Drosophila melanogaster: one gene and its partners. The protein of the gene in region 1 interacts with the protein of each later gene in a pairwise test. Each region holds a gene or a part of one and is shown in the gene's direction. Other genes may lie near its edges. The genes, in order: CG42727, CG15269, achi and CG10321.

What was found.
Region 2: the proteins of CG42727 (region 1) and CG15269 interact in a two-hybrid assay, tested with the Drosophila melanogaster proteins (one large-scale study listed by BioGRID).
Region 3: the proteins of CG42727 (region 1) and achi interact in a two-hybrid assay, tested with the Drosophila melanogaster proteins (one large-scale study listed by BioGRID).
Region 4: the proteins of CG42727 (region 1) and CG10321 interact in a two-hybrid assay, tested with the Drosophila melanogaster proteins (one large-scale study listed by BioGRID).

What each region holds. Positions count from the first base shown.
Region 1 is NT_033777.3:15,345,382-15,352,283, forward strand, and holds CG42727 (uncharacterized protein), read left to right. Parts: upstream 1-2,666; 5' UTR 2,667-2,737; coding exon of another isoform or gene 2,738-3,061; intron 3,062-3,120; coding exon of another isoform or gene 3,121-4,122; 5' UTR 4,123-4,321; coding exon 4,322-4,957; 3' UTR 4,958-5,010; downstream 5,011-6,902. Other genes in the region: Surf4 (surfeit 4), read right to left, coding at 528-578; CG31301 (uncharacterized protein), read left to right, coding at 924-1,302, 1,413-1,771, 1,828-2,024, 2,083-2,244, 2,309-2,531; CG42726 (uncharacterized protein), read left to right, coding at 2,738-3,061, 3,121-4,122; Trs33 (TRAPP subunit 33), read right to left, coding at 5,013-5,402, 5,471-5,539; Tmtc4 (transmembrane O-mannosyltransferase targeting cadherins 4), read left to right, coding at 5,970-6,902.
Region 2 is NT_033779.5:15,107,007-15,114,927, forward strand, and holds CG15269 (uncharacterized protein), read left to right. Parts: upstream 1-2,398; 5' UTR 2,399-2,578; coding exon 2,579-3,520; intron 3,521-5,086; coding exon 5,087-5,908; 3' UTR 5,909-6,086; downstream 6,087-7,921. Other genes in the region: stc (shuttle craft), read left to right, coding at 6,884-7,228, 7,294-7,921.
Region 3 is NT_033778.4:12,510,199-12,518,186, reverse strand, and holds achi (achintya), read left to right. Parts: upstream 1-3,124; 5' UTR 3,125-3,411; intron 3,412-3,788; exon of another isoform or gene 3,789-3,843; intron 3,844-3,925; 5' UTR 3,926-3,942; coding exon 3,943-4,057; intron 4,058-4,125; coding exon 4,126-4,619; intron 4,620-4,678; coding exon 4,679-4,827; intron 4,828-4,927; coding exon 4,928-5,314; intron 5,315-5,403; coding exon 5,404-5,505; intron 5,506-5,564; coding exon 5,565-5,686; intron 5,687-5,752; coding exon 5,753-5,932; intron 5,933-5,997; coding exon 5,998-6,116; 3' UTR 6,117-6,653; downstream 6,654-7,988. Other genes in the region: CG8818 (uncharacterized protein), read left to right, coding at 1-350, 413-546, 599-783; CG13151 (uncharacterized protein), read right to left, coding at 929-2,743; vis (vismay), read left to right, coding at 7,748-7,862, 7,921-7,988.
Region 4 is NT_033778.4:21,631,665-21,639,928, forward strand, and holds CG10321 (uncharacterized protein), read left to right. Parts: upstream 1-3,014; 5' UTR 3,015-3,317; intron 3,318-3,716; 5' UTR 3,717-3,739; coding exon 3,740-6,247; coding exon of another isoform or gene 6,248-6,307; 3' UTR 6,308-6,735; downstream 6,736-8,264. Other genes in the region: CG15674 (uncharacterized protein), read left to right, coding at 622-810, 1,301-1,645, 1,703-2,506.

The sequences.
Region 1 (6,902 bases):
TCAATGTAACTTCATACATGTATGTATGTAAATCGCGAGCAAGTTCACCTGGCTTTCTAGCCCAACTATTACGGAACTCGACCTGGCCGCTGGCGTCCAGCTGCCCGCTATTTCTTTTTCAACACTTTCACTTGCGGAGACAGCTCTCTCGCACACACACACAGACACATACGCATCAGCACACAGGTAGAAAATAAGCAGCGAGAGAGAGAGTTTTCCCTGCGGCAGACGCAACAACTGTCAATTGCGGTACTGGAGTACAAGGCAAACCCATCATCTGGGTTGCACCCAGATTCTTATTGGAAGCAAATGCCCAGCACGTTGCCCCCATGTCAGCGGATCGTGATTATATGCAGCCAAGACCCTCGAACTTTGCCGCGTTTGGGTGACGTTGGCAGTTTTCCCAGTTTGCAGCTGCCAGGGCTTCCCCGCAAACGCCATTTGGGGCGCATCGGGAAGACGCTTCCTGCGGTGGATATGGAGTCCTGGTGGACTTCTTTTTGGCAGTGGAACCTAATATATCTTACCTGTTCCGCCACATCCTCCGTTTTCGCTATGTACTCGTTGGGTATGCTCATGTTGGCTGCTTTGGGCTGATCCGATCTCTCACTTTGGGGCAATCGTCTGTGGAGACACTTTGGCAATTCGTTTCTGACTTCTTGGGCGTCGCGTCGCTCTCCAAATTGTTGTTAAGTTACCAAAAAATCATGAATTAAAAGGCAGGAACTTAAAAACACACACGCACGACAAAGTATAGCCGTGATGGGGCCTATCGTTATCGCTGCGTTATCGATAGCCAATGGGCAACACATGGCCAATCGAATTGATAATTCGCTGTGAATGGGAAAGCAGCAATCAAAAAACAAGCGTGCCTGTGCTCATTTTATTTGACAAGTTGAACGCTATTTATTTTCCCTGTAAAGATGTCCGTTCAACAATCCAAGCCAAAGCAGAAGAAAGTCAAAGTTAAAAAACAGGATGATGCCGGCTATGGATCCGGGGAATTTTCCTTGGACTGGGATGTAGACAGCTACAAGACGGAATACGAAAGTGATGAGCACTGGGATCTGCGACGCAGCTTCATGCTGGCCCACAAGGATCGTTTTGAGGAGGACCGGCTGGTGTGCCTGGCCCAAACGTTCGTCAACATGGAGTTCATGGGCTGCAAGTATCCAAGCGCGACGATGCTTTTGGTGGCCGAGTTGTCCAAGGAAATCGCAGCGGATTTCCGTCAGAAACGGGAACAGCGCCTGAAGAGAACATTTGTCTCGGCGTCGGATGCGGCGGAGCAGCGCGCCAAAGGTAGACGACTGAACAATTAGTGGGCCCATAGGCGAGAGAAGATTCTTTTTATCACTAGTAACTATACGAGCCAGAGAGACCAAAGCCTAATGCCTAATTCCAACTACTAGGGCGCCGGGCTCCACCCCTTCCCTCGACGAGCTCCCCAGAGGATAGCTCACACATAAAACGCCAGTGTTTTGGCGGCGGAGATCCAGTCGATCTCTATCAAGATCTGCGTTTCGGTCGGCTCATTGTGTACTTGGCTGGGGGACGAGCCTGCCTGCAAAACTCCTGCAACATTGCGAATGTCAAGTACGAAGAGCGTGTCAGCCGAGATCAGCCATTAAGCGATAATACAAAATACGCCGAATTATTAGTAAATGATGAGGTAATAGCGACAGGACAGGGGGAGAGCCTTAAGGCGGCCAAGAAAGCTGCCTATAAGCAGGCGCATTTGACGATCCAGTCCTATTGCTATAGTATTAAGGTATGAAATTTCTGAAATAATGTATGCCTTATTAAACCCGGTACTACGCTACACAGCTGAATGCCACGCGCGACACCATCAAGGTGGAAAAAAACAAGGACGGCGTCAACATCAAAGTCACCAATGAGTCCGCCGACAGTCCGTGCGATCCCAAATTGGACCCCAGCAACAAGGGATATCGCATGATGCGACTGATGGGCTGGACAGGCGGTGGCTTAGGGCGACTGAAGCAGGGACGTGAAGAGCCCGTATGGTAAGAGTTCGACTTTTAACGTATCACCAAACGAAACTATTTTATTTTATATTTTCAGTTATCTGCTAAAGAACAATCGTAATGGTCTTGGATTAATAAATCCAAAGGGAAATTTCGCTGATTACCGACGGCTTATAGAAAACTATGTGAGATCGGACGATATACGTGACATGCAGTTTGAGCCCACGTTTTCGAAGGAAGAAAGAACCACGCTTCACCAGTAAGCACCGTCATCCCACATCGTAAAAAATAATTGCTTATTATGTTGGCATTTCCCTTTACAGAATCGCCAGACAATTTGGCTTGCGTTCCGCTAGCTATGGGAGTGGAGAGAGCCGGCGCCTTTTGATTACCAAGAAGATCGACTATGGCACAATACTGACTGAGGTCCTGCTTCGGCGGAACCCCAAGTTTTGTGATCGTTACTTTGTGCACGTACCCATGCAGAAGGCGCACCTGTTTCCTGGTCATGTGGCCGACCTGGAGATGAACGATGTATGTGAATAGGCAGGACGAACAAAATCTCAGCTCATAGTACTCTTATAAAAAGATCTTTATTCTTAGTTTTAATATAAAGGATGTAAAATATATGAAAAGTATTTCTGACCGTGTACTTTGTTTACGTTTCGTGCTGAATGGCTGCGAGAAAGAAGAAGCATAGCTGCAATTTTAGTCTCCTGTATGTGCGATTTCAATGCATTTAGAATTTAGCAATGAATAAATGTCCTCGCTGCAACTGCGATGCTACAGGACAGAATCGCCTCGTCACCGACAGCTGTGGACACACCAAGTGTCGTCTCTGCCTGGTGGCGGATGTATCGGATTGCCTGGAATGTCGAGTTGCACGAAGTGTCGATATCCAGGAGACACAGGAAACGCAAGCAAGGACGTCGGCTGATAAGCGAATAATTGTCACAGATAAGGGCTACCACTGTACCGTCTGCAATAAGGATTTTCGCAGCCGGACCCAGCAGTATTACCACCTCACCTGCGGCAACGATCTTCTCAAGAAGTTCAACTGCAAGGAGTGCGGACGCGTGAGTTGCAGCATGTACTTATGCTGTGTGTAGTTTTCATGACTGAGATTTCCTTCCAGAGATTTGCTACCAGTTCACATTTAAAGTACCATCTAATGAGCCATGAGAAACAATCAAAACACTCGTGCAGCGTCTGCCACAAAAGTTTCAAGCAACCAATTGTTCTACAGCGCCACATGCTTACCCACAACCAGGAGAAGCATTTGTGCCCAATCTGCCAGAAGGTTTTCCGCCGCAAGAGCTCTCTTGCCAGCCACCTGGCGATCCACAGCGATCTCGGCCTGCAATTTAAATGCGAGCTCTGCTCTAAGCATTTCCAGAACAAGGCCAATTTGAACCAGCATCTGCGGAAACACGACAAGAACAATATTCGGCACATGTGTAAAGTGTGCCAGAAGTCCTTTCTGCGACAAACCACGCTTCGGCTGCACATGAAGCGCCACTCAAATCGCGAACGTCAGTCCTGTTCCCTGTGCGGCAAAAGCTACAATGATCCGGATGCTCTGGGCCGACATTTAAGACAACACAAGACTGCCGAACGCTACCGCTGTATCCAATGTGACATCACTATCAACCGAAAGGACAACATGCTGCGACATCTGCGATCCATGCACCCTGGTTGTGCGTTTGCCAGTACTGTTGAAATGGTTACACCGAGGTCCAGTGCTCAGGAGGCCACGACGGCGGAAGAAAGACCATCTCAGACTGTAAGATACAACAGTGTGATCCAGAGTGTGGGCAACGTTGAGCCAGTGATGTTGCTGCAATCTACGCCACTGCCATCTCAACTCCCTGAACTGCAGATGGAGAAAGGGAAAGCTGTCCCAGAGCATCTGCCTCTGCCAGATGTAATGCCAGAGGAGAATGTCCAGCTGTATCGCAAGATCATCTTGGATCTGGACAACGAGGAATACTCTAGCGAACCTAGCCCCGATGCCCAAGAACCAGCCATGCAACATCACCAGCCGCGTGTCCCGGGGCAAGGTAGCTCCAAATTTAGCGAGATGCACTGGCGCAAGAATTTCAAATATTGGTACCAAAAAGAAGAAAACACAAAGTGACGATATGATCTCTAATGAGTTGGCCCTTTTTCAAAGGGGTCCTCTAATTTATTAGAGATCAGTCAGGTGCTGCGAACCGAAGCGAACCGCAGCAATCTTGTTGGCCGCTAGCCATATTTCCGCGTGCCGGCGTCACTGCCAAGTTCACCGGCCATCGGAAGCAGCAAGACCGCTTAATTTGCAACTAACAGTATTCAATATGATGGACGAGCAATCGGAACTCGAGACACTGCGTGAAATTTATTACCTAACTGATGATGCGTCGTGCAACTGGCGCAAGTTGCTTGTCCTGGGCGACTGCCTGGACCAACAGCTCAAGCGCAAGCTGCTCTGGATGTGGCCGACATCGGTGGACTTGGACTACTTTAATCAGCTGCTAGCCATGCACGACATCCAGCGAGTTTTGAGCATCGGCTGCGGCAGTGGGCTTTTGGAATGGCTTATGACAGTGTCTGGAGGTCGGAAAGTCCCCATGTTTGGCTTGGAGGTCGATCGCAACTGGTGGCAGAGCAAGTACTCCGTTCGAAGTTTTATACCGCTTAACTATTTAGAGGATGCCAGCCAACTGGATACGGATTTATTGACCAAATGCTGCAGTGACGTTCATCCGTGTGCCTTGCTCTTCTGCTACTTCAACAATCGAGGAGCTTTTCTGGACTATCTAAATGTGTATCAAGGAAAGTGGCTTATATTGATTGGACCATTGCCCGCCCTGGGAATCCACACAGATCCCAATCCCGCCCAGCCCCAACTGCCCATCGACCAGTGGATCCTGCGAGAACGCCTTAACTGGACTGACCACAACATTGTGGCATTCTACGAAAAGATAGCCTAGTCTAGTCTGTAGTATCTCTATAATTGTAGTAATAAACCATTGCCTTACATCCTAATTAGTTCCTGTTCACTTCTATGTGAAACTTGCAGGCGGGTATGCTTTGCACTTCGGCCGTCACGGTGCTGTTAATGCCTAGATTGCTGAGAGCTCCTCGCACCAGCCCGCACGTGAAGGCCACGAACTTGGGCGCGTGCTCCAGCTGCTTGGTGCCCGGCGAGATGCGAGTCAGAAAGCGGAAAGCCTTGTCCTGCACAACGTACATTCCGTGGTTGTTCGTCCTCAGGTTGTCCACTTGCTTCTTGTATATAAGCATCCAGAAGTCGGTGCATATAAACTTCATAGTCTCCAACTCGTCCTTAAAACGCGAAACTTCACGGGTGAGCCGCTCAATCAGGCGGTAGCCGGTGGTGAAGCCTATATACTCCAAAGTGGCCAGGTCGTGCTCCTAATAGGCGGAACCAAATCAAAATCGGTTGTATGACTGATTTTTTTTTGCGTCCCTCGTGTTCCTACCTTATTGCTATCCAGACAATAATTGACTATCTCTGCATGGAGGCAATCGAAAAGGATTTCTTCAGACATTTTCGAGGATTTAATTTTTCTTTGTGAGTTCAACAAATTTTTCCTCGGATTTGTTTTGATCTAGATTTAAACAGCTGTTGCAAGCGTTAACGGGCGAATGTCTTGTTTGCTTTTAGTGGTTTATTGTTATTACTATTATTTATACTTTAATATCAAGAGTATGTATAATTATTTTAATATGAATACTCTAAAATGAGCAGATTTGATAGATCTATTTAGCGTAATTTCAAATCATTTTATAACCATATATTTTTCGATGCATATATTTAGCTAAGCTGCACACATTTCTATCGCTGATCTGGCATCACTATTCAGTGAGGGGGTGTTTGGACAAAAACACAACAAAAAATGTATACAAAACAATTCCGATTAAAATTCGCAGAATAAGTGAATTAAACTTGAACAATTGACAATTAGTAAATAATCCAGTATGCTAGACCTCGTTCACAAAGCCACGCTGCATAGCATGGTCTGTCAGGCAATCCTAGTGTTAATCTGTTTGCTATGCTACGGATGCGGTGGCCTCAGTGGAGCGAAGTTTGTCTTCGATGATACGGTGGCCATCGTCAAGAACCGGGATGTCAACTCACTGCCCACCAACTGGACGGCGATCTTCACGCACGACTTCTGGGGTGCTTCCTTGCTCAGTTCCGATTCCCACAAATCATTTCGGCCACTGACCACCCTGATGTTCCATTGCGAGTATGCCCTTCTGGGGCTAAGTGCCGCCCACATGAAGTTCCTAAACCTCCTGCTACACTGCGTCAACACGCTGCTCATGTGGCGATTGATTCGCTCTCTCTATGTTCCGGAGGTCAGCACGGCAAGATGGGCCATCCTCTCCGCTGCTCTATTTGCCGCCCATCCAATTCACACAGAGGCGGTTTCTGGTGTGGTTGGAAGGGCCGAGCTCATGTTCGGCATGATTCACTTGTTGTGTCTTCTGCTGACCGTGGCCAATACCGGAAGACTTGGTCCACAGACTGGCGGTCTAATCATGCTGCTCACCGCTGTGGGAATGCTGTTCAAGGAGTCCGCTGTGACCATCCCCATGTCGTGTGTACTATTGGATTACTTTCAAAACGGCTACTATCATCTGCGATTCAAGGATCAGTGGAGTCTTTTGCGCACCCGGATCAGCTACTTGTTCTACTTGCTGGGTACCTTGGGTCTGCTGACGGCTCGCCTTTGGTGGCAGGACTTTGAGACGCCTACCTTCAAGGAAGTTGACAACCCCGTTGCGCACAATGAGCACGTGCTGACCCGTGGGCTCTCCCAGCAGTATCTGCTGGTCATGAACATCTGGCTGATGCTGTGCCCCCACTGGCTATGCTACGACTGGGCATTGGGTTGCGTCAAGTTG
Region 2 (7,921 bases), on another chromosome or scaffold:
CAGACGAGAAGGTCCAAACAATCCAACGATCCAAAGCCCCATCAGCGAATAAAACCAAAGGTCCACGCAACTAAGGAAATTAAACGGAATCCGTAAGGAGGACAAACCCGAACCGGCGGTGAAGATCGGAGTTCGGTGGGGAAATCCCAGGCAAAGTTGATCACCCGCTGACAGAAAATCACTTGGCAACGCGGCTGATCATTAACCGATAACACATGACATTAAAGAGTTTCACAAAGAAGTTTTAAACGCACACAAAATAAGATAAATGCCGACCACCCCAATGAGGGGGAACCAGTCGACTGAACCACAACGCACAATCCCGACAATAACGAGCGGAAAATTAATAGTGTGAACAAAGAAGAAGAACCATGGGGAAGATCGAGGAGATGGAGATGGAGATGGGGATCTGGGCATCTGAGATAGGTATCAGCTTACATTGGAGACGGCCCCAAAACGACGACGGTAGTAAGGAGTTGGAAATTTGTCAAAATGTCAACGGGTGAAACAGTTTTGGAGCGTTCATGCGAGTCACCTGGATGCGTTGCGATGGGATGCTACGGATGGAGATGGAGCTGGCAATGGAGGGACTTCGCATGGGGCAGCCACGTAGCTTTTGTAAAACAAACCATTAGCAGCTAATAAACATTAGTCATGCGACAAAACAAAGTCTCCTGGAGTCTGCTGCAGAGGCCCGATGATTTAGTGAGTGTAATTAAAACTTAAGTTTCCTTCGCTTCGCATATGTAAATTATCTGGCGGAATTCCACGAAATGCCAACCGAACTGAAAAAAAAAAACGAAATACGAAAAAGAGTTTTTCAACTAAGGTTGAACAAGTTTTGTGGTGTTCGCCCGGTCCTCATATGTATAATTATAATGAATAGCCTGTTTAATCAAAATTTATGCAGATCGTGGTCAACCAAAGCGAGCAGCGCGTGTTGACAGTCAAACCATTATTAATCACTGGCAAGAGGATCGGTAGTTGGCTAGCGCGGAGGATTTGAAGGGGCTTCTCCGCCAGGTAATCCTGATAAGATCGTTTTGTAAGTGATCGTGGACAAATCGTGTGCAAGATTGTGCCTTGCGCATTAGAGTCTCTCTATGCGGCAATTGGCAATTAGAAAACAGAGACTTTCAATCCTCCAATCCTTGTGAGTCAGAATATCAACTCCATTTCACCGGATCTCATTCCATGTAGCTGTAAATGTATACCACTTCATTTGTATCTGCAGCTTCCTTGAATTCGCGTGGTGTGTCACCATTTTACTTCACCTGTGTATGGATCCTCCGAATCCTCGGCCTGGATACCATGTTATTTATGCGCGTTTCATCCAATCACAAATCACTTGAGGAGCATTTTGTTTTGCACATTTTTATGGCCGCTACTGATGCTATGCAAGTCGAGGAAGTGGTCACAGTCCCTCTTGGATGGCAACTAAATGTAGTGGATCAAGCTTAAATGCTTCAGAAAGAGGTATTTGTAGGGCACCCTTAATTGGCATAGGCTATTTTTTAATAAATTTATGGAAAAATATTTGGGTTCAAATTGTTGTTTCTTAAAAATTCTTTACTTTACTTTAATGGCACAGCACGTCCTTAATTACTAAAATATTTCAAGAGGGTGTCATAATCATCCATATATGATTATTTAGACCTTTTGGGCTTACGTTAAGTTTTTTGGCCAGTGTGGTCAATCATGAACCGTTAACAACCCTTTTTAAATTCGCAAGAAAAATACCTGATTTCCTATACACCATTTTGACGATCGTTTGACGGTTATGTCATCTAGTCCCTAGCTTCAATTCCTTCCCACACTCACACATGGCTAAGACTGCAGAGCCGTGACGAACCAAGTCACCTCAAGAGATGATCGCTGCGCATGCGCATAACCGTAAGATTCACACATGCCTGGGAATCGGATTCGGAATCAGCGAGGATGTGAATGTGGACGGGGATGAGAATGTGTGTGTGTGGATGAGGAACAAGAGAAATACATTTTGAAAATTTAACGATGCGCACATTTTATTACCGCAATTAATTACAAAAACAACGCGGCCAAAACGAAATCTTAGTCACTTTATCAGAGAGGTCCAGTGGATAAAAAAAATGAAAGAGAGTAGTGCACGGAGAGCGATCTGAAAGGAGCGATAAGGTTTATGATAGATGTGACTAGTAGAACGCTACTAGCAAATGGTTCTGGGTCTGCAGATTGCAGCTCCTCTCGTAATTGGAGGCGCGACAGTTTGTCTCCAGCAGTCAAACCTGGTTAATTGGAGAAGAGACTCCCGGTCTATGAGAGAGAGAGATACGGAGCGAGACCGACCTGTACGGTCAAACCTGTTTCTCGACCAATTAAATTCGAGAGCGGGAGCGTAAGCCAGGCTTTAGGCCCGGCCAAAAGACGATGACGGCTGCTGTGGGCTGTGAGGCCAAGACATTTCGTGTTTCGACGCGTAACGCGACAGTTCCCCGGGCTAAAAAGCGCCTACGCCTCAGAAAATAGTCATCCGAAACGGTAACGCCTGCGGTCTATGAGTGATTCTTCGGTGTGGAGAAGAATGGGTTTCAAGCACGCCATGCTGCAGCGCAGTTACGACCTTTCGCCCTCGCCGGCGCGTACTTCACCCACCAATGGAGTCCAGAACTTGGGAGCTGGGGCACAGTTGCCACCGGCTCAAGTCACTGACTTTAGCATCAGTAAGATTCTGGGCAAGGAGCGTAAATCCGCTCAGGATACGAGCACGAATATCCTGGATCTATCCAAGAGCAGTAGCAACAGTATTAGGAGCCCACAGGCTCTTGGAGGGCTGGCAATACCATCAACTCCTTATGCCTCCGGTGCCTACTCCATGTTGCCGCCAGATTTGGTGGCCATGGCCAATGCCACCAAGTTCTATGCCCAATTCTTCCCGCACTTACTGCCCGCCTATGCGGCTGCTGCAGCGGCTGCCGGCTTGAGTACTCCTCCTACGTCGCCCTATCAAACACATCAGCATCAGCAGCATTTGCCAAATCAGCAGAAACGCTTCTTTGCTCCCTATGTGATCAATGGATCGGTTCCCCCACCACCACCACTGCAGCAGCAACAGCAACCTCTCATACGCACCAAAAGCACCGCATGCACTCGTCCGGATTGCCCGGAGTGCCTGGATTATTACCAAAGATTGCAGACTGGTGGCTATAAGCAGACCGCACCTCTCATCTCACCCGCCGCCTCCTCGGTGAGCAGTTCCACCGGATCAATACGTCCTGTGAGGGATCTGATTATGAGTGCCACTGGAGGAGCCGCCAGCACTAACATCTCACTGACCACCGTGACCAATCTGAGTCTGAACTCGGTCCAGGCAACGGCCGTCGGAATGATGCCCAAGATGACCGGTGGACTGATCACCACAGCCGTCGGCAGCAACAGTGGAGCAATCGGTGGTATCGGTGGATACAATGCCACATCCGCCGAGGAGATCAGCTACAAGTGCCGGATTTGCGAGAAGGTATTCGGATGCTCTGAAACTCTGCAGGTGAGATTTTATTATTGTTATTAAATTATTATTACGATGGTGTTCTGTTTACAAGTATATATCATTTATGACAACCAAAGCGTTTAGTTATCAGTTATTAGCTTTAGAAAAGATAATTCATCCTAAATATATTCCAAACTCTAACCCAAGGATTCAATTTATTCTTAAAATCCCTCAAAAACGAGTAAACACAAAACACCCACGAAACAAATTTTTATATTTATAGTGTAGACAGAATTTTAATTTTTTTTATTTCATTAGACCTTCAACTTTTAAAAAATGAAATACAAATATTCAAAAAATATATGCAATTCCCAATTAGAATTTAAGAATGAAATGATTTAGATTTGCCAGATTATATTTTATTTCAGTTTGCTGCTGTTTAGTTATAAAAAAAGCGAAACGAAATGAACGATTGTATGAAATTTTCTTATAAATTAAATAGCACAATCAAACTTATACGTAAAGTCACTTAAAGAGTTTGTACTTACACACAAGCATTTGGCAAATGCACGCGTATTTTTTTTTTTAATTATAAGTAACAAAAAAATTAATGATTTAGATCTCATCAACGGTTACGTATACATTTATCACAAAGAAATATGTGTTTATGCGGAGTACTAAATGATTGAGAATTATTATTGCAAAGCCATTAAATAACTTTAGGAATTTAACTCCTTTCAAAACATCTAAGCCAAGAACAGCATTAACCTTTCACATGGCCATACATCACATAAGATATCGTTTGGCCGGTCCTCAAAGTCCACATCCACACGAGATCCTCCCAAAACGGGTTTCTTCACCAACAGAGATACCATATGGATTTGGGCGGGGCCTAAAAAACAGAGAAACAGTAGTCTAATTGGAAGGCGGAGCTCCGAAGAAAAGAGTGGAGATTCAAGTGGAGTGGGGAAGAGAGAGGCAGCGAAGAATTGAGTGCCTTATGCAAATCTCGCAAGCAATCCGAGTTCAAAATGGAGTCGGCCGAAAACAGAAACAGAAGCGGGCAAAAAAGAGAGAACTGGTTTTACGCATGGGTGCAGCTACAAGATACGTTAGAAAGGGCCAGACGCCGAGCGAGAGGTAATCACAAAATGGCCACTTTGGGAAAGAACACCAATTTCAGTAGCTAACTGAAGCAAGCCACATTTGAAGTTGCAACAAAATTATTACAAACAATGGGGAACATTCGAATGTGTAACCATGGTATTTTTTGCATTTCTGGCTTATTTTGTATAAGTATAAATGTGTCCAAAGCTCAGTTTTCAGTAACTTTATATTCGAAATCTTCCAATCCTCACTAGAACTTATAGAATAAGGTATTAATATTAGGACCTAATTAAAATGTTGCTAAACATACTCATCTTGAAAGCCTCCCTTCCAAAAACTAACTAACTAACGAACAGTTTGTAGAAAATCGCTGTTTTATGAATTTCACAACAGATTTTCACTACCTCAGGTTTTTTATTAAAATTTTAAATCTCTTACTATTGCTACAATATTACTATTGCTAAGCTAATGTATCTTATTTATTTATCTTATTTGTCTATTATGTTCTTATTTCAGGCTCATGAAAAGACGCACAAATCGCCGCGTTACGAGTGTGCGGATTGTGGAAAGGGTTTCTCCCAGCTGCGAAATTACAAATATCACCTGTCCGTTCACCGAGGAACCAAGGAGTTTGCCGCCGAGTGTCCCGAATGTGGCAAGACATTCAACGATAAGGGATATTTGAGCAGTCACCTAAAGATTCACCGGAACCGGAAGGAGTACGAGTGTCCTTACTGTCCCAAATCGTTCAATCAGCGTGTGGCCTTCAATATGCATGTCCGGATTCATACCGGCGTGAAACCCCACAAATGCAACGAGTGCGGAAAGAGATTTTCGCGTAAAATGCTGCTCAAACAGCACATGAGGACGCACAGTGGTGAGAAACCGTATCAGTGCTCCGTGTGCGGCAAGTCCTTTGCCGATCGCAGCAACATGACCCTGCACCATCGCCTCCACTCGGGAATCAAGCCCTTCAGCTGCCCCCTGTGCCCCAAAGCCTTCACCAAAAAGCATCACCTAAAGACGCATCTGAATTACCATACAGGCTGCAAGCCGTATGTCTGCCCACATCCCAACTGCAATCAGGCATTCACCCAGTCGAGCAATATGCGAACCCACGCTAAGAAGTGTCAGTACCGTCCGTTGGATGGACTCACGGTCACATCATCCGCACTTCCAGTACCGGGAAAACAACAAACAGGTCCACCGCCCACTTTGGCCATGGCCATGGCTCAAACATTTCAAATGCCGCCACCTCCTGGAGTTCTAACACCTGGATCTGGTCCATCCCAACCGCCGAGTCAGCAAACCCTTCTCAGCAATCTCAGGACATTCTAAATGGGTGGAATCGTTGTGCCCGGCCAGTTTCAACCAAATTTGTGGCAATTACAAAGTGCAGTACTTCCACTGTTGTTATTCAATTTACATTTATTTTCAAGCAATAATTTTGCTAGAAATTAAATTAGGAATAGACATTAATTATTATTAAAATAGGCATATATATTGGCCAGTCAATAAAGTATAATATCAAATACAAAAGGATTCCAGGATTCTAGAAATAATATTTTGGATTGGAGATATGATTGGGAGTCCAACTAGGTAATTTCGCTTATAATCAGATAACGCAGCCTTATTTAATTCAAATCTTCTAGTGACAAAAATTAAAAGATGTATGTTTTTTTAGTAAACAAATGAACGAACCGTTGCAGTACATTTAACATATTTAAAAGTGCGCTCTCACTCAGCCAGATGGCGCCACCTGATAGTTTATTACCACTGTAGGTGTGTTGAGTAACTAAACGAAATCTTGCTGTTAAATTGTATTCACAGCTGTCCTAAAACCGAGTTGGCAGCCCTTTTCCCCTCAAAAATCGAAAGTCTGTTAATATATCGATAAGTCAAGGCAATTGTCAGTGGTACCGTTTCGTCTGGTATGACCGTGTTGTGAAATTTTGTTAGAAATTTACAATATAAGCGAGCATAAAAAACGCAGGAAAAGCGCAAAAAAATCAGTAAAACGTGCCTGCGGACCCAGGCTGCGGTGCGTCCAGTTGGCCGTAGAAAGCCTTTACCAAATTCGATCGAACTGAGAATTCGATTCGGTTAACTTCTGCATTGGGCTCAATTTCACCATTGCACACGTGTCTGGAGCTTTTCCTGGGTTCGGTCACCTCCTCCTCGGATTGCGGACGATCCCGTGGTAGCGCTGGGAAATGCCCAGCAGAGGACGGCGGGCAGTTCGAGATTGTTCCGGCAAAGAAGCAGGCGCAACTGCAACAGACGCTGGTCACCAACGACAGCACCGGACTCTCAATGGCTGAGTACTGGCAGCAGTTGACCAACGGCGCCGGAGAAGCGGGACCCGGCAATGAGTCATCCGCCATGGCAGACTGCAACGGAGGTCACGAATCGGCGGCAGTGGGTGGTTCCTGCAACAGGCACAGCAACAACAATTACGTGAACTTCAATCAGTTCATTATGCAGCACAATCTGGGTGGAGGAGCGCCCTCGAATGCCACCAGCACTATGCAACATCCGGTGGGCAGCAGCTACACTAACTTCTCCCTGGGCGGCGGTGGAGGAGCCTTTGGACTGAACCCACCAGTGGCATCCGCGAGTACCAGCCACTTTGCAAATGTGAGTCATCAATCTCCGAATGTATGTTTCGATATATTAGAACTTAGGTTTAGTCCTAATGAATCAACTAATAAATCACAAAACAGTTTTACTCGCAGGCCATGATCCCAACCTATCAAAATGGCGATGGCATCGCTAGAGTCACCGTCACCAGCAGCTATGGGTCGGTCAATCCGAGCAACAGCAATTTTTCGAGTTTTTACACACCTTTTGGCAATAATCCGTTTGACTTCAGCGCTTCCAAGCTGCAGGCCTCGGCTCCGGAATTCGTGCCCAATTTCGCCAAGCTGAGTCTAGAAGAGACACCGGCAGCCGCCACTACGAACGGAAACAGCACTGCCAGCCTAGAGACTGCCATAAATGAGACGAGACCTAGGACTCTGCGAGCCCAAGAACCAGCTGAACGAGGAGCTAACAACCAATGCTCGAACCATAATTACGAACGGGAGCGTGAGCGGGAACGTGACCGGGACCGGGACAGGGAAAGAGACCGGGACAGAGACAGGGACAGAGACCGGGACAGAGACCGGGACAGGGACAGGGACTCTAGACCCGGAAATACGCGACAACAACGCCGCTCCGACTATCGGGACGATCGGGAGGACCGGTACGAAAGAAGCGATCGTAGGAGGCCGCAGAAGCAGCAACGCTACGACAATCATCGCAGCAACAAACGCAGGGATGACTGGAATCGCAACAGGGACCGCATCAACG
Region 3 (7,988 bases), on another chromosome or scaffold:
GCGGATCTGGCGCCCTTCCGCGCCATCGCCCTGTGGAACAATGGTAACGCCGACGTGGCCCTGATGACGCTACATCGCGGTTACGGGGTAAGCATGACTTCGGAGGAGGGCAGGCGGATGGCGCGCTCCGCATTCCGCACCATTTCCGAGGAGACTCTGGCCCAGAAGAGTGAGGCGGTGCTAGTGTCGCTGCTGGAGGTAGCGCGTGCCATTCACCGCGAGCACAAGGACATCTTTGTGGTGGCCTGTGTGTGGAAGCAATGCTTCGCTAGCGATTGGTTTTGCGATCAAAAATCGGCTTCGGAACTGTTTGAGCACTACAAGGAGCTGCAAGAGCTAGTGGAGAGGAGGTAAGTCGCTTTAATTTCTTTAAAAACCCGAAATTTGAATCCCAATGTAACCTTCCTTGCAGAGCCAGTTCTTTGTGCTCTTCATTTCTGGCCCGTAACAATGTTGATGCGGTGCATCGGCTAATCGAGGCGTTCTTGCAGCACCAGCAGCGTTTGGCCTGCTCCAGCTGCCTCAGCTTGCTCTTTAACTATCAATGTGAGTCTGTGCAACACAACCGAATATTATGTAACTCCCGTTTCGTTTTTAGATATGCGCAAGGATCTGCGAGCCTGCGCTGAGATTGTCAAATCCTGCAGTGAATTAGAGATGCCGCTAAATGAGCTGCAGAACGAACAGTTCCTCAGTCTGTTCCTCGACCAGAGCGATCCTGTGGACTCTTCGGGAATGGCCAGCAAGTACAAGGCACCCAAGTCCTTCCAGTACAAGTTCTAGTCCCCAGTTTCCATCGTTAAGCCGTTGTCATCGTAGTTACAGCACAAGTGTTTGCACCATTGAGCAATATTGCAAGCATCCCCATATTGCAAGCCCCCACAAGGAATGTAGTGTCTCTTCAATAAATGTTATTTAATATCCATCTTCAGGTGGCTCCTTCATCCACCATGTTGCCCTCGGGCAGTTGGCCAGGCAAAATGCCGACGCATTCGTAGCAGCGGGATATCAAGTGGTTGCCGCATCGATGTTGCAAGCACTGTTGGCACCGCGTCCGCGATTTAGTGCCACGCTTATTTCGAGCGCAGGGCTTGCACCTGCGATGCTTCTCTCCGTACCGACTAGCCAAATTAATGCCCAAGGGCAGGCTCATCTTGTCGGGTGTTAGCACGCCTACGCTGTGCGTTAGTTTCGCCTCGCCGGTCGCCTCACTGAGCAGCCGCTGACTGGATTGGCCCAGGATTTCGCAGATTTGCAGTCGCATCACGAGCGAAGTGCTGGTGGATCTTCGCTGAAGGCGTCGCTGTAATCTCTGCTGTGTGAGGAAGAGTCCCAACTGTCTCTGGAAGTCGCGCTGATCCATAGCGGCATCGCCTTTGGGCGAAAGTCGTAACAGGATCCATGCATTCACGGCAGCCGCGTTGAGCACAAAGTGAAGTAGTTGCAGAAAAGGATTGATCTGCTTTTTCAAGGGTGCGGGCGTAGCGTGGGCTGTGCTGAAGCGCTGGGAGTGTTCGTAAAACTGCTGACAGGCTTCTGAGGTTTGCTCATATGCCTGGACTGCATCTACTTGGGAGCTAAGACCGCAGCAGAAGACTGCGTCGCCATCGAGCGGAATGAGTTTTGAGCTGCCACCAAACAAGGGTGATTCTGTGGGCCACTGCCGCGGCCAATGTGGCGAATTGGCCTCCAGCTTACCCAACGAGCTTATTTGCCGCTGCGCCAACTGCTCGCACTGCGTCAAGTTTAGATACCGTGATCCCAGCGTTACATTTCTTCCCGTGGTCTTGAAATCGCAGATCAGTTGTTCTACATCCTTGTCCGGACATCTCTGGTTTCTGCTTACCACTGCATTGGCCATGTACAGTGTCCTGGCATCACAGCAGAGGGTCATCCGTGACTTGGCCACCGCGCAGAATGTCTCATCCACGGTCAACCAACTGCTGCAGCCGTAGTAGGATCTGCAATTGATTATAAGGCGCTGCCAGAGCTTTTGGCCCTCGGACCAGCCGCAATTTCCCGCCAGACACTCGGAAATGCTTTCGAATCGAGCGAGCGACATGGATGCTCGGAATATGGCATTGCCCAGCTCCAGGGTCCACAGCTCATCCAATGGCCCATTGTGCCTGGCATTTCGGAACACTCCACAAAGGTAGCTTAGACCCAAGAATGCCCGCAGCTCCACAACGTCTAGGGGTCTCTGGACACTTGTGGCCGTTCTCCGCTTACGCATCTGTTCATTGATATGGCGAAGTAAAGACCGCAGCATTTCATCATCGAAGAGCAGCATCCATGCTTCCACTGCATTGGACACTGTTCGGGCGGGTCCCTTGCCACAGGCCTGTTGCCCCAAAAGGGGTAGATCCTCTGCAGAAATATCTGGGCTCCTGGTCACGCTCCATAGCTGCCCACAAGGAGATGTGTAGTTTCCGTTATTATTTGGTGGACGACCACGTCCTCGCTTCGGGGCAGCTGGCCTGGCGGAATCCTCCTTCTTCAGCACCACGTCAGCCAGTTGGTCCTCGTTCATCAGCATGTCGCTGTCCTCGAAAATCCAGGGAAAATTGCATACTGCTTCCTGTAGCGGATCGGAGTCATCTCCGTTAAAGGAGGCACTTTGGACTGTGGAATCGACCGGCGGCAGCCGCTCCTCCACCTCCATCTTTTCACCATCCTCGTCTTCTTCCTCCTGGTCGCTACATTTAATATTGGCCAGCAGCTCCTCGTCCAGCACGCATTCCATTGTTTGTTTATAAACTTGCAACAAAACAAACCTTTTCAGTCGTCGATAGGTTAGGACAGTAACGTCTATACATATCGATAATTTATATAGTTATCGAAAAAGACATTTAAAACATAAATCTTAAGCTTGAAAGGTTGAAAACTTATAAAAAAAATAGTTTGTTCTATTTAGAAAAAATTATGTACATTCTAAATATAACTTATTTATTTTAAATGTAGATTTAATTTCCAGCGTAGAGATAACTAGTGTATGTTTATAATTCTTAAACAAATTATACTTAACAAAACTTGTATTTATTCTTGGCGCCACTGTTCAAATTTCAAATGAACCTGCCAACTGAACTAACTCCCCAGTGGACCCCCATCCATGATTTATCGCACATAAGCGGCTATCGGATTTCTTTCGCCACTAATTTGTTGTTTGGCACGCAGCAAGGAAAAGGAATAAAACGCTTTAAAACCAGTGCCAAAATAGCTTTCCCCAACGTTCGTTACTATATTTACGTTGTCTGCAAAAAGAGTTTGTCTAATTGGCCTCGATACTACGGTTGTGACGACTGCCCCGTCACTACAGTTTGCTGAGTGCAGTAACCGGGGCCTGGCTGAAACACTGGGAAAACCAGTGTTTAGTGTAAATAAATGATAGTGGCACCCATTCGGACATCGCAGGTGAATCCCCGGGAGCTCAAGACGCCCGTTATTTGGGCGCGCAGTGAATTTGTCAAAATATTTTGGTTAAAGTGTCAATTTGACATGTTATATGTCATGGTCTCTCGTGTGCCAGTGCGATAGTTATCGATAGATAGCCCCAACTTAATTTGTTTTAAATATTTTTAAATTTCTTCTTTACTTAATTCACTACTGTAATACGTTCGTTTAATGTATAGTTCCTTGGAAATTAATCGATTTAGCAAGTAGACCGATTGGAAAGAAATCAAAAATCGATTTGAAATGCGTATTTGAACCTTAGTTGGCCATGACTTTGGTGTCTGAATGACGCCTGCCCTCAGAAAAAGTTAGTTGAATCTCAAAGTCTGTGGTGACAACACCTAAAGAAACTAAAAAGTGACAGGTTTCTCTGTTTGTAAAAAAAAAAAAATTGTAATTAAAGTTCTGTTCTTTTCCTTTCAATATTTGCATACCGTTTCTGGTTGTGTTTTAATGAATTTTCTGTTTTCTGAAGCTTAAGTCTGAGCTGCAATGATCTCGCCGGAACAAGAAGAGGTCAACATGGTCCTGGATCGCCATGTACGGCAGAATATCCAGGACATGATGCACGAGGCTCATGTCCAGGCGAGCCTGCTGGAGAACGAAGGTGAGTTTGCTATATTTCGGTCGAGTTCGGTCTTGTTCATGCCCGTTTTTTTTGCATGTCATCTGCAGGACGCGGCCGTTTCCACTCGGACTCAAGTTTGGACCAGGATTCTCTTCACGCTGACGTCATCGTGGAGGAGGATCAGAGCACCGAACACGGCGCCAACCAGGTGCAAAACTACCACGACATGATGGTGGACAGTGAACACCACATCGACATAAATGGGTCGCTGCGCAAACGTCGTGGAAATCTTCCCAAGACCTCTGTAAAGATTTTAAAGCGTTGGCTTTATGAGCACCGCTATAACGCCTATCCGAGCGATGCGGAGAAGTTCACCCTGTCCCAGGAGGCCAATCTGACGGTGCTCCAAGTGTGCAACTGGTTCATCAATGCCCGTCGCCGCATTCTACCGGAGATGATCAGGCGCGAGGGCAACGATCCTCTGCACTTCACCATATCGCGACGTGGCAAAAAGGTTAGCCCCAACTGTTCGAGATCAAGTGCGTTGGGCGCAAACTTGACTGGGCCGAATCCCGCACACGGAAGTCCTGCTTCCGAAGTGGTGTGTTATCTTCTGGTCAATCATTATACCACTGAAGTTACTAAATTGCTTGACTCCAGGTCGTTGGCGCTACAGAGGAGGTGGATGGCGCCGGTGAGATTCACGAGGGCATCGCCAATGTGCTGACCAACTTTGAACAGTATGTGCAGGGCCCCAACGGACAAATGGTCAAGATGGAGCCGGAGTACGAGGACAGTGTCATCTACAGGTAACTGGTAACCGGTCTTTATGACCTGCTTCCCTAGCGTTAGTCACTTCTATCTCCTATCCCATCCCACCTATGTCCAAACTCCTTTTCCTCTTCCAAGCTGGCAGCAGGCCATTGCAAACAACCCGATGGGCTTTCAAAGTCTTCACTCCTCGCTTCAAGCAACCATGATCGATAAAATTAAAAACTATCAGATGCGCAAGGCTGCCGCCATTGGGGGTTCGGCGGTTGGCTCTGGTGGTGCTGGTGGGTCGAGCTCCAACTCCAGTCCTGCCACATCAATACTGCCATACAGCCTTTTTGGCCAGCTGCCGCCAGAGTTCGATGACGAAGAAAAGCCAAGACCTCCGAAGCGCGTAAGAACGCGGACGGTTGCTGCAAAGAGTCCTAGGGAGAATGCCAAGCAAGCAAAGCAGAAGACTGGGAATAAGCAAGAAACCATGTACTGCTATAAGGATTCATACGGCGGAATCGTGGTGTCTCCTAGGTACAGCTTCTGCTCCCATTGACTGATCCAGAGCCTTAAATCTTACTCAAGTGCGAGTGGCGGTGCTAAGATTTTACTTTTACCCCCAGGTCCGAAGGCGAAGAGAGTGCACAGGGATACGAGTCCTGTGGGCCGAACAGCGAGGAGGAAGTACGCTTCGAGACCTCCCATGATTGGCAGAGCGTTATAAAGTAAGTAGCTATGTGGATGTATTAAGAAAATATTGTAATCTCGGCCTCTGCAATTCCAGAACTGTATTTGGTACTGAGGAAGTCAGCACTTCGGCTGGCAATAATCCAGGTACCTCTGGTTCTAAGGGATCTGTTCAGAATACCGCCATCTGGAATCGCAATCAGACTGCGAAGCGTGACGGTGAGTGAAGTTTGCAGACTTAGAGCTCGGTTTCTTTGGTAATATCCAACTCTTTTACTCCTAAAGTGAATCAACAGTTGACTGACTTTGAAAGCGAGCTGAATAGAATACAGGCCTCAGAAATCCAGACAATCGATCCTACCAACTCCAATCAACAGGACATTGGTGACAATCTACAGGCGGACGAGGTGTTTACCGGTGCCGAAGCAGAAGCTGGCCAGAGTCAATTATCTGCTATGTCGCAGGGTAACCTATACCTATTTTTATCAACTTTATATTGAATTTTTAATTATTTTATAATCTTGCTTTAGGCACAAGTCCAGATGAGCGTGCCAAGTACAAGTGTCTCTATTATCTAGTGGAAACTGCCATGGCTGTGCGCCAAAACGATGACGTCCAGGATGACGATTTCGTTTACATGGGAGACTAGAGCCTCAAACCAAATACCCACGCTACAGATCCCGACTTCCCAAAGTGCCGAAGCGTGTATATACAAATATGTATATATAGATATATATATATACTTAAGTAATTTAATCGAACAGCACTAGACCCAAAAATTTGTCTATAACCCCCATGTTATTGTGTTAATTGAGTAGGTTACTAACATAACGTACAAAGCTATAGATCAATTCGCAATGCGACCGCCCAAATACCTTTTTCCACAAAGTCAATTCACAAACAAATCGACTTAGTTTTGGACCTGACTCTTTTAAACTTAACATGTACACTACTGATACTTAAATAAAACATAAACAAGCATTTGAAATACACATTGCCATAAAATGATGGTGTGTTTTATCTAATTGGCTGATAGAGCCATTTTTTTAAGGTATCTAGTAATTATGTACACATACATACATAAAATGAGAACGTTTGTGGAAGGACAAAATTAATTTTGTTATAAATATTATAAATGTATTGGAATACTTTGGTTACCACAGATAATAAAGAGTGGCGCAAAAACAAAATGATTCGATTTTTAACTATAAAGCTATAGAACAAAAAAAAAGAATGATATATTCGAGTTCCCCGGCTATCAGATACCCGGTACATATATGTGAAAATGTGAACAAGAAATTTCATAATTTTTCTGGGGTATTGATAGATAATTCGGAAAAAAGAAATATCCAAAAATTTTCAAAAATGAGGGCGTGAGTTTTGCGCTGTTTTAGGGCGTTACAGTGGGCGTGGCAAAAAGTTTTCATTTTTCAAAAGTGTGGGAGTGGCATTTTGTACGGTTTGAAAGCGTTGGAGTGGACGTGGCAAAATAGGTCCACAAACTTGTGATAGTTCCTGACTTCATACGAACGGACAGTCAGACGGACGGACGGACAGGTCGACTCGGGTATTGATCCTGATCAAGAATATATGTGTTTTATATGGTCGGAGAAGCTTCCCTCTGCTATTACATACTTTATAACGAATCTAGTATACCTTTTTACTCTACGAGTAACGGGTATAACAAGTGACGATCGCACCTCCAACATACAAATCTTCTGAAATCAAAATGATATTACATTTGACCAAATAAATGCGCTTGTCTAAATTTTACAAATCAAAATTTTTATAAATTTTGGATAAGGTAAAAAGTACATTTCGAGACGCCCGTTACTTGGGCGCGCAGTGAATTTGTCTAAATATTCATGGTCTCTCGTGTGCAAGCGCAATGTTTGTGCGATAGTTATCGATAGTTGGCCCTAACTTAATTAATTTTAAATATTTATAAAATTCTCCTGTACTTAATTACTTACTTTAATACGTTCGATACAAGCAGACCGATTGAAAAGAACCATTTTTAAAAATCAATTGAAAAAATTTGTTTTTGAACCCTAGTTGGCCATGACTTTGGTGTCTGAATGACTTGCCTGCCCTCGGGAAAAGTTAGTTGAATCTCAAAGTCTGTGGTGACAACACCTAAAGAAACTAAAAAGTGTCAATTTTCTCTGTTTGCAAAAATTGTAATTAAAGTTACTGTGCTTTTCCTTTCAATATTTGCACACCGATTCTGGTTGTGTTTTAATGAATTTTCTGTTTTCTGAAGCTTAAGTCTGAGCTGCAATGATCTCGCCGGAACAAGAGGAGGTCAACATGGTCCTGGATCGCCATGTACGGCAGAACATAAAGGACCTGATGCACGAGGCTCATGTCCATGCGAGCCTGCTGAACAACGAGGGTGAGTTTCCTATATCCCGGTTGAGATCAGTCTTGTTTATGGCCGTTTTTTTCTCCAGGACGTGACCGTTTCCACTCGGACTCCAGTTTGGACCAGGATTCCCTTCACGCCGTCGTTGGGAATGAT
Region 4 (8,264 bases), on another chromosome or scaffold:
GTTTGAAAATTGTTTATGTCTGCTGTCCAGGGTAAGGCTTGTAAAATGTTTATAACTAGAGTGCCGTCGATGGTGAGAAAGATTTATGTCGTATTGATTTGATTAATTCCCACCTTAGGCTTTGAACTCAAATGTGTTGTTATTAATATCTAATATTATTTCCTTAAATAAAAGTAAACGAAAACTGATTGATCCACCCTAATGCTTACAGAAATCATAACTAACCAGTGTTACACACACGTTCTATTCGGATTGAGTCAAATGGTGCCGATTATCTTATCGCCAAGTGTGGACTGCAAGTTGGGAAAACGAATACATTCATCACCCCGGTCGTTGCTCACTAACTGGGTTTTCGGTGACGCTATTACGGACACGGACCGGCTCTCACCGAAAATCGAAGCGAATCTCGGCCGAATCCTTCATCAGTAGATAAATATGGTGATATTAAGGTGTTCGTTGTGCGACAGCTTGGCGGTCAAGTTGAATGCGTTCGTATAGGCCGTTGCTCAGGTGTTAGAAAATTGCAAATTTAGTTACTACTTGACCACCGAAGTGTGCCTATCGACGGCTGTGGAGCAATTCAATCGAAGAACTCTGTGCATCTGATCTGCGGAAATGTCTATGAAAGCCATCATCATCGGATGCCTGGCCGTGCTGGTGACACTGGGTGCGGCCCTCGATGAACATCCTCATTTCTGCATTAAGACAGATCCCCTCCTTCTGTCGGAGATCGATCGACATGTGGTCATCCCCAGCGAGGAGGACCTACAGTGCCATATTAAGGCCACCACGTTGACCCAAAACGAGAAGGTAAAATTTTGGGCATATGGGAATACCCATTTATAAGCTAAAGTTTTCTGGATTTTCTTGGGGGGTAAGCAAACATACTAAAAGTGGAATTTTAGAACAGTCAATTTATGGCAATTCGTTATGGATACAACTGCTCTTGGAATAAAAGTATTTCAGTTAGTGCAATTATTTGGCGACTAAGGCAGATTGCACGATTCCATATTTGTTAAAAATGGCCTCAATTTGAAAAACTCCCTACCTTTAATGGCAAATGGTGCGTCGCCAAACTAGTTTGCCCCATCGACATCCTTAAGTGACAAATCCAATGCCAGCCAATAAATTATTCGAGTGGCTGATATTCCAAATTGAATTAGCTTGACGATAAAGTGACAAAGTGTCCATCGCAGCTGAAGAAGATAATGCCGGCGGACCTGAGATAAGCCGAAGACGGTGGTTATATACGAACAAGGTGTTTGTTTCAGTCTTTTACTTTTATCTCTTCATTTTCCAGGCAAACCTCGTGGACACCCTGTGCGCAGATCATGGCTCCACCACAATCAGGCGAGATAACCATCACTTTTTTAGGCTGCGCAACGGAGAACTGACTGGAAGGGGAGTTCAGACGGAGGTGTGCGCCAACGGAGGTGATTCGGTCCTGGCCTGGATTCCCTACCACACCGTGCTCAAGAACTATGCGGCCGAGCTGAATCCCAAGGAGCGACTGACATACATTGCCAAGGCCACGAACGTGGAGCGGGAGAAGACAGAGCTCTGTCACTTCCGACACACGGATCTTGTCAATGCGGTGTCCGACAATCTGTTCACCTGTGTGGTCATGATTTTTGGCGATAACTTTGTAAGTTCCTCGGGAAGATGGTTCGGTTGATGTCCTACAAATATGTTATCTTTATAGTATGGTCTTGAGGATAACATTAACGTACTGGTGGAACTGGAACCTTTGGCATACCAGCTGAGGAACATTACTTACCTGCCGTGGCGCAATGTGACTAACAGCTACAAGATGCACCTGGGTGACAGTGTGCTCCGAAATCCCAGTGGCGAACGTAAGCCCATTTACGGTAGCCTGAACTACGATTTTGTGGAGAAGATCCTTGTGAACATGTCCAGTGTGTACCAGCATAGGAAGCTATCCAGGCTGCCTCTGCTCTTCGAGCACCGGTCCTCTGTTCTCGAGTTGGACTTGTATGGTATGGGTGGCCTGGATGTTGCGGAAAAAGCCTATTTCGGACGAAGCATGGACCCCAGGAGCGAGGTGAAGGTGCAGGTGATTGGTCAATGGGTAGACCAGCATCGGGAGTTCGACGCCGACATATACGAGTACTATGGCCATGGGCTGAGACGCTATAAGGAAACTCTGACCGGGGCCCGGCTCACCTTCATCCGAATAGATTATACGGAGCCGGTTTTCATGGCTCCGGAGTCTAGCAACCTGGCCAAGGCCTCGCTTTTCCGAGAGCCGAAGGTTGGCCAGATAAGGGAGGATCCATCGGGCAACTATACCGAGTGGGAGAACGCACAGGAAGAGGATTACGATGAGGAAGGTCCAGGATTCTACTGCTGGTTTGTGATTACTTGTCTGCTTTTGGCCCTCGCTATTATCCTGGGCATATACATTGTAGTAAGCGCTCACAACAGGAGAACCAAGAAGCGCCACATGTACGAAGTGGCCAACACGAATGTGCCTCCACCCGCCTAAAAATTATGGACATTAAGTTAAGTTTTCTAAATCAGAAAATAACACCAGGATCAACAGGTGTTTTCAGTTCGAAATGTCAGTTTAAAAAACGAGTTGGCAGCTCAATTGCTATGTCCTCGAATTAAAATTTGTGTGTTCGTTTTTTGGGTTAGATTTATTAAAAATTTCGGCTTGAAAATGTTAATGTGAGTCAAAAAACTGTTGTGTGTTTCATTGAATATGTAAAGAAATCCCCTGGTATGAACGGCAAGGAATGGCTCTAAAATCGAGAAATTAAAGAGACTTGTGAGCTGAAGGACCCACATCAAAAACCTAAGTTGTAAATAGAGAAAAGGTAAGTTTCAATGGAATTTCATGCCTTAAACATAAGAAGTTTTAAGTATTAAAAAGAAATCTAGAAATCTGAGGAAATAAACAAAATGATTTCCGACCGGCATGCGTTAGGGATTTCTGTCTTTATACCACGTTGGCAGCGCCATTCACAACACGCCTATCATCTCACTCACACTCGCACACAGAGAAAGACAGATAGAGGCAGAAGTTCAGTTCATCAATTCATTCATCTCATGGAAGAACCTTATTGATAACGTCGCCAGAGATAGCTAGTGATTTCATTCGATCAGGGTCCCGAAAGACCCACTGGTGTGCACTTGTTTTGGTTTTGAAGTTCGCATCTCTGGGAACGTGTGTGTTTCGCCCTGAACCACAAATATGTGAGTTCCGAATGCGATTTGTGTGACGCGGCCATATTTAAAGAGTTTTTTGTGTTGAATGTGGGGCGAGCTGCGAAAATTACATAAATACAGCGCAGGTGAGTTCATTTTTGTTGCGGGAACCCGGTCGAAAGGTGCTCTAAGTGCGGGTGCAAGTGAATCGAAAACAATATTTACCCAATTCAAGTCGGGAATTATGTATTTGTTTCGTTTTTTGGGCCTAAAAATCGCATTTTTCGCTCACACCAACACCAAGATGGTAAATTGTGTATAACAATATGGCTGTCTCTGTCTGGCACAAGAGCTACCAGACGTGTCGACAGTCCCTGTTATTAACAGCGGGTTAGCAGGTCATTTTACAACAGATGAAATTATTCTGAATTTTAATTGACCATTTTTTGGCGGGCAAATCATAACAAACCTCGTACTCATGCACCTTTCGGGGATCCGCTCATTCTAATGGTTATTTTAAATTAAAAAAAACTGGCCCATTGCAGCCTCCCCCTAGGAACACGAAGTGATGGATCGCAAGAAGGTCCTGGAGCTTGACAAGATCTGCCGCCTGTGCATCTCGGAGCGCAAGGAGATGCGCCCGCTGTTCAGCGAAAAGGTGCCCGAAATGCTGATGGACTGTACCAGCGTGCGGGTGGAGCCCACGGAGGGCTGGCCGGACAAGATCTGCGTGCAGTGCGTCCACGCCGTAAGCCGGAATCACGCCTTCAAGACGCTCGTCGAGCGCAGCGACAAGGAGCTGCGCGAGTATATCCGCGGTCTTACCGTGGCACTGGTAATGGAGGAGCAGCAGCAGCAGGAGGCGGCAAACGCTAAGCAGCAGCTTCAGCTGGAGCGGAAGCAACAGCGACAGCTGCAGAAGCAACAGAAAATCCTCGAGGAGCAACTCCAGCAGCAGATAGTCCAGCAGCAACAGCATCAGCCTCCTGCCAAACCAAAACTGAAGCCGCTGCTCCGCAAGGGCTCCCGCCAGCAGAAGCAGAGGCATTTGGAGGCCGCACCAGCACCACAGTCAGTCCCGCAGCCCGCCCCTCAGCCACAGATGCAATTAATGCAGGAACATGCGCCGCAACAGCCCACTATGCAGCAGCAGATCCAGCAGATTCATATGCCCACACTTCAGCCTGCTCCCGCCCAGCTACTGTCCGCTGCCGGTGCCACCACGACTATGCCGCAGCAGATCCTGTTGCCCAACGGCCAATTGATAACGACTGCTCAGATTGTAGCGCCGCAGTTGGCGCAGATCATCAGCACAGCGCCGCAGTCAACGACTAATGGTCAGGCCACCGCTGCGCAATCGCAATTCCTGCCACAGCTTCTACAGACGCCGAACGGACAGACGTTGCAGATTGTTCAGCAGCCCAATGGCACGCAGACCCTGCAGCTGGTTCAACTTGTGCCGCAACGCAGTTTGGCTCCGACCGGAGTCACGACAGTGACCACAACTACCAACGCCACGGATATGGGTCAGCATGTAGGCGCTTCTCTCGGTGATGCCGACGTGCAGTTGCTGGAGGACGGCTGTGAGGTGGAAGACGAGGAACTGGAAGATGTGTACGAGCAACTGGATAGCAAGGCAGATCACAGCTTTGAGACTATTGTACTGGACGACGATCAGCAGCAGGACTTCCTAAAGGACCACCACGAGCACCACCAAGTAATGATCAACGAGGATCTCACGCAGAGTGAAAGCCAAGACCATGAGTACTTCGACGATTTGGACCAACAGCAAGCAATGGACGAGATAGAAGACGAGGAGGAGCAAATGAAGCCCGAAGAGGACCAGGATACGTTCATAATCGAGGAGATTCAGCTGGAGGATGACGAGATGCTCGATGATCCGGATGGGGAGGAAATCGACCAGGATTGTGAGTACATCGGTGAGGAACAGGATCCGCATTTGTCCGGCGACGTAGACGACGATCTGGAGTATTCCATTATGGAGCCGCCGGATGGCGAGACAAGTGTGGACATTGACCAGGCATTCATGGATTCTGAGCAGTCGCATCATCAGCAGCACCAAGAAGAGATGCAGAGCATATCACTGGAGAACGCTGTTGTAGAGTTCAGCCAGGCCACAACTACAACGGAAGCCCTGGTGGGTCCCACTATGACCGTCAGCTCGGCCAGTCCGACGCCAAAGCGAGCCAAGCGAAGTAACCACCAAATTCCAGCCGGTGTGACTCTGGAACCCTGCGACCACCAACCACCTGCCGCTGGATCAACGACCAGCAGCAAGCTGGCCGCAGCCAACTCTCGCCAGTTGGTGCAGACGGCCAGCGTGATTGCAGCCGCCGGTGCGGACGACAACTACGAAATAGATGCTAATCTGGTAACTGAGTTCATACGACAGCACACCTCGCCTCTGGGATCTGGGAGATACATTTGTCACCTGTGCAGCACCGAGTTCCGGCAGTTCAAGGGCCTGCAGAACCACATGCACTCCCACACCAACTGGATACGGGCCAATTGCAAGAAACAGCCGCAGTGCCAGATCTGCCTAAAGAGCTTTAAGGGCCCAGGAATGCTGCGGATGCACATGAAGACGCACGACGCTGAATCCAGCACACCGATGTGCACCATTTGCAATCGAACCTTCAAGTCCAAGGCGATCTTGTACAGGCACAGACAGACGCACCAGCAGAGAGCGTATTGCTGCGGCGTGGCCAACTGCCGAAAGAACTTCTCGTCCGCGGTGAACCTCAAGTGGCACGTAGAACGCAAGCATCCGGAGGTTGTGGATCCGCTGTTCAAGTGCGGCGAGTGCGGATCTTTGTACGACAACGTGGACTCACTGCAGCTGCATGTGGAGAGCACGGATCACAGTGCAGAGGTGCAGATCAGTGGCCAGGACGATGCTTTCAGCGGGGCGGTAAGCATCGTCAGCAACGGCACCACCGACATGTCGAACATGATGGCAACCGGCCAGGGTACGACTTTGGCCGGCGGCACGGGCGATACCCACGCCGTGGTCATGGGCTCATCCGGCGAGGTGTACTTCGTGACGCAGGCGTAGCCAGCGGAGTTTGCCGCAGCGGGCGCTCCTGGAAACGGCGAGTGCCTGCTCGGCATTTAGATGACCACTTAGATGTAATATATATACATATATATATATATATTTTTGTACTACCCCCGTCTAGATAACAATTTAGGAATAAGCACAACTACACAAATATTGCAATCCTAGATTTCTGTCGTAGAACTTGTTTAGTAGGACCTAAGCGATTCACTCGAATTTTGTAAGCAGATACGAAACTTTAGGTAGGCAGATCGAGGCGGATCCTCACATCCAAACGCTTGGGGCATAAATCCTGCGTGGACTGTGCCAGTTTTTGTTTTTAATTTTATTACCCTACTATTATTATTTTGTTTTCCCGGGGAATACAGACTGGCATTTTAGGCTAAACGTATTTTGGCGTTGGGTTTTCATTGTTGGGCTTTGAAATAAGTGAATTTGTTTTAACTGAACAACAAAATAAATTAACAAACCTTCTATGAAACCATAATTTGTCTTTCTTGTACGTCCCATCTGGCCGGTAATATTTATTTTTAAGCGTGTAATCCAATTCGCTGGCTTTGTTGGCTTGTTGTTCAATTGCATTGACAGAAGACCGGGAAAAAACAGAACCCAAACAAAATTGATCGAAAGAAAACAACAATCAAGCCAAGGTCTTGTCTATTGATTCCCAATTGCCACGTGTCGCGTTCATCCGGTTATGGGAAGTATCTGGATAACTACGATTCGCGTATGGATGCTTATGTAAATCTGTAAATGCCTATTAGTGTGATTTAGGTACATGTACATACATATATATTATATTATCCATAAAAAGTGACCCCCCAATAATCGGTTATCTGATCGCAGTCTGAAATCTCCGGCTGTCACAAGAAATTGTTAATTAATTAGCAAATAAGCCGCGAAAATAATCAATTGGAATAACATTGTGACAGCTAAAATCGCCAGGCGTTTATTTGTTTTGTTCAGATTATATATGGCGGTCAGCCGCGTTTCGCAAGATAAGATAAAGGTTTGGTTTTCCGCTTACAAATATGACGCATACCTTCGACTTACCGCCCTTAATTTTCCAGCCAGCTGTTGGAAAATCTGGCCCAAACTAAAGCTTATATTGTACATAGATATTTTAGATAGCTAGATTTTTGATTCGTAACTAGCTGTATCTAATGCAACATTTTTAAAATGGGCTTTACCTATACCATCATATGCTTTACATTTACATTTACATATGTATATATTCATTGCACTTATAATATATTCTTCATCTTAAATGTCATGCTTTCATGCTTGGCTGGAAAAGTCCTTGCACTTTAAACCGTCGAAATAAAACTTGGCCACGCAGCCAAATAAATGTCAAGATAAATTTCGTAGGCCAAAACGAATTAATTAGAAAATAGAAGAATTCTTTTTAAGATAATATTTCCTACAAATTTGCTAGTCTATCACATAGTGTATTTTTTACACAAAAATATTTCAAACATTTGAAATCAATGGGAAAAATGTTAATGGGGCTTTACGTTTTAAAAATACATATTTCAAAAATATCTATTTTCGGATCGCGCACTATCGAACAAAAACCGGCGACTGTTGGCTCCCAACAGTTGGTCATCCATTTCAAATTTAATTGATTTGGCACTGGCGAGGGGTTCGTGGAAGGGGGGGGGGATCAAAATAATTGCTCATAATAAATTCCTTTGATTCGCCAACAGGCGAGTCACAAAACACGCATTTACAACCCATTAATGCACAATATTTTGTGTTAATATTCGGCGGTTTTGGCATTTATTCAGATTCTCGAATCGAAATCCACGACGTCACCAAGGCAAATAAATCCAATTTTTAGATGACCTTTCTGCTGGTTGTGCTGGGTATTTCCAATCCAAATCCACTTTTTTTTTTGGGGAGGTTGTGATATTAAAACGCAATTGGGAATAAATGAGCACATCGAAGGCGCAGTTTAATTATTAATATGGCGCCGCTTGTGTGCTAACGGAAACTTTCAAAAATATATATTTTT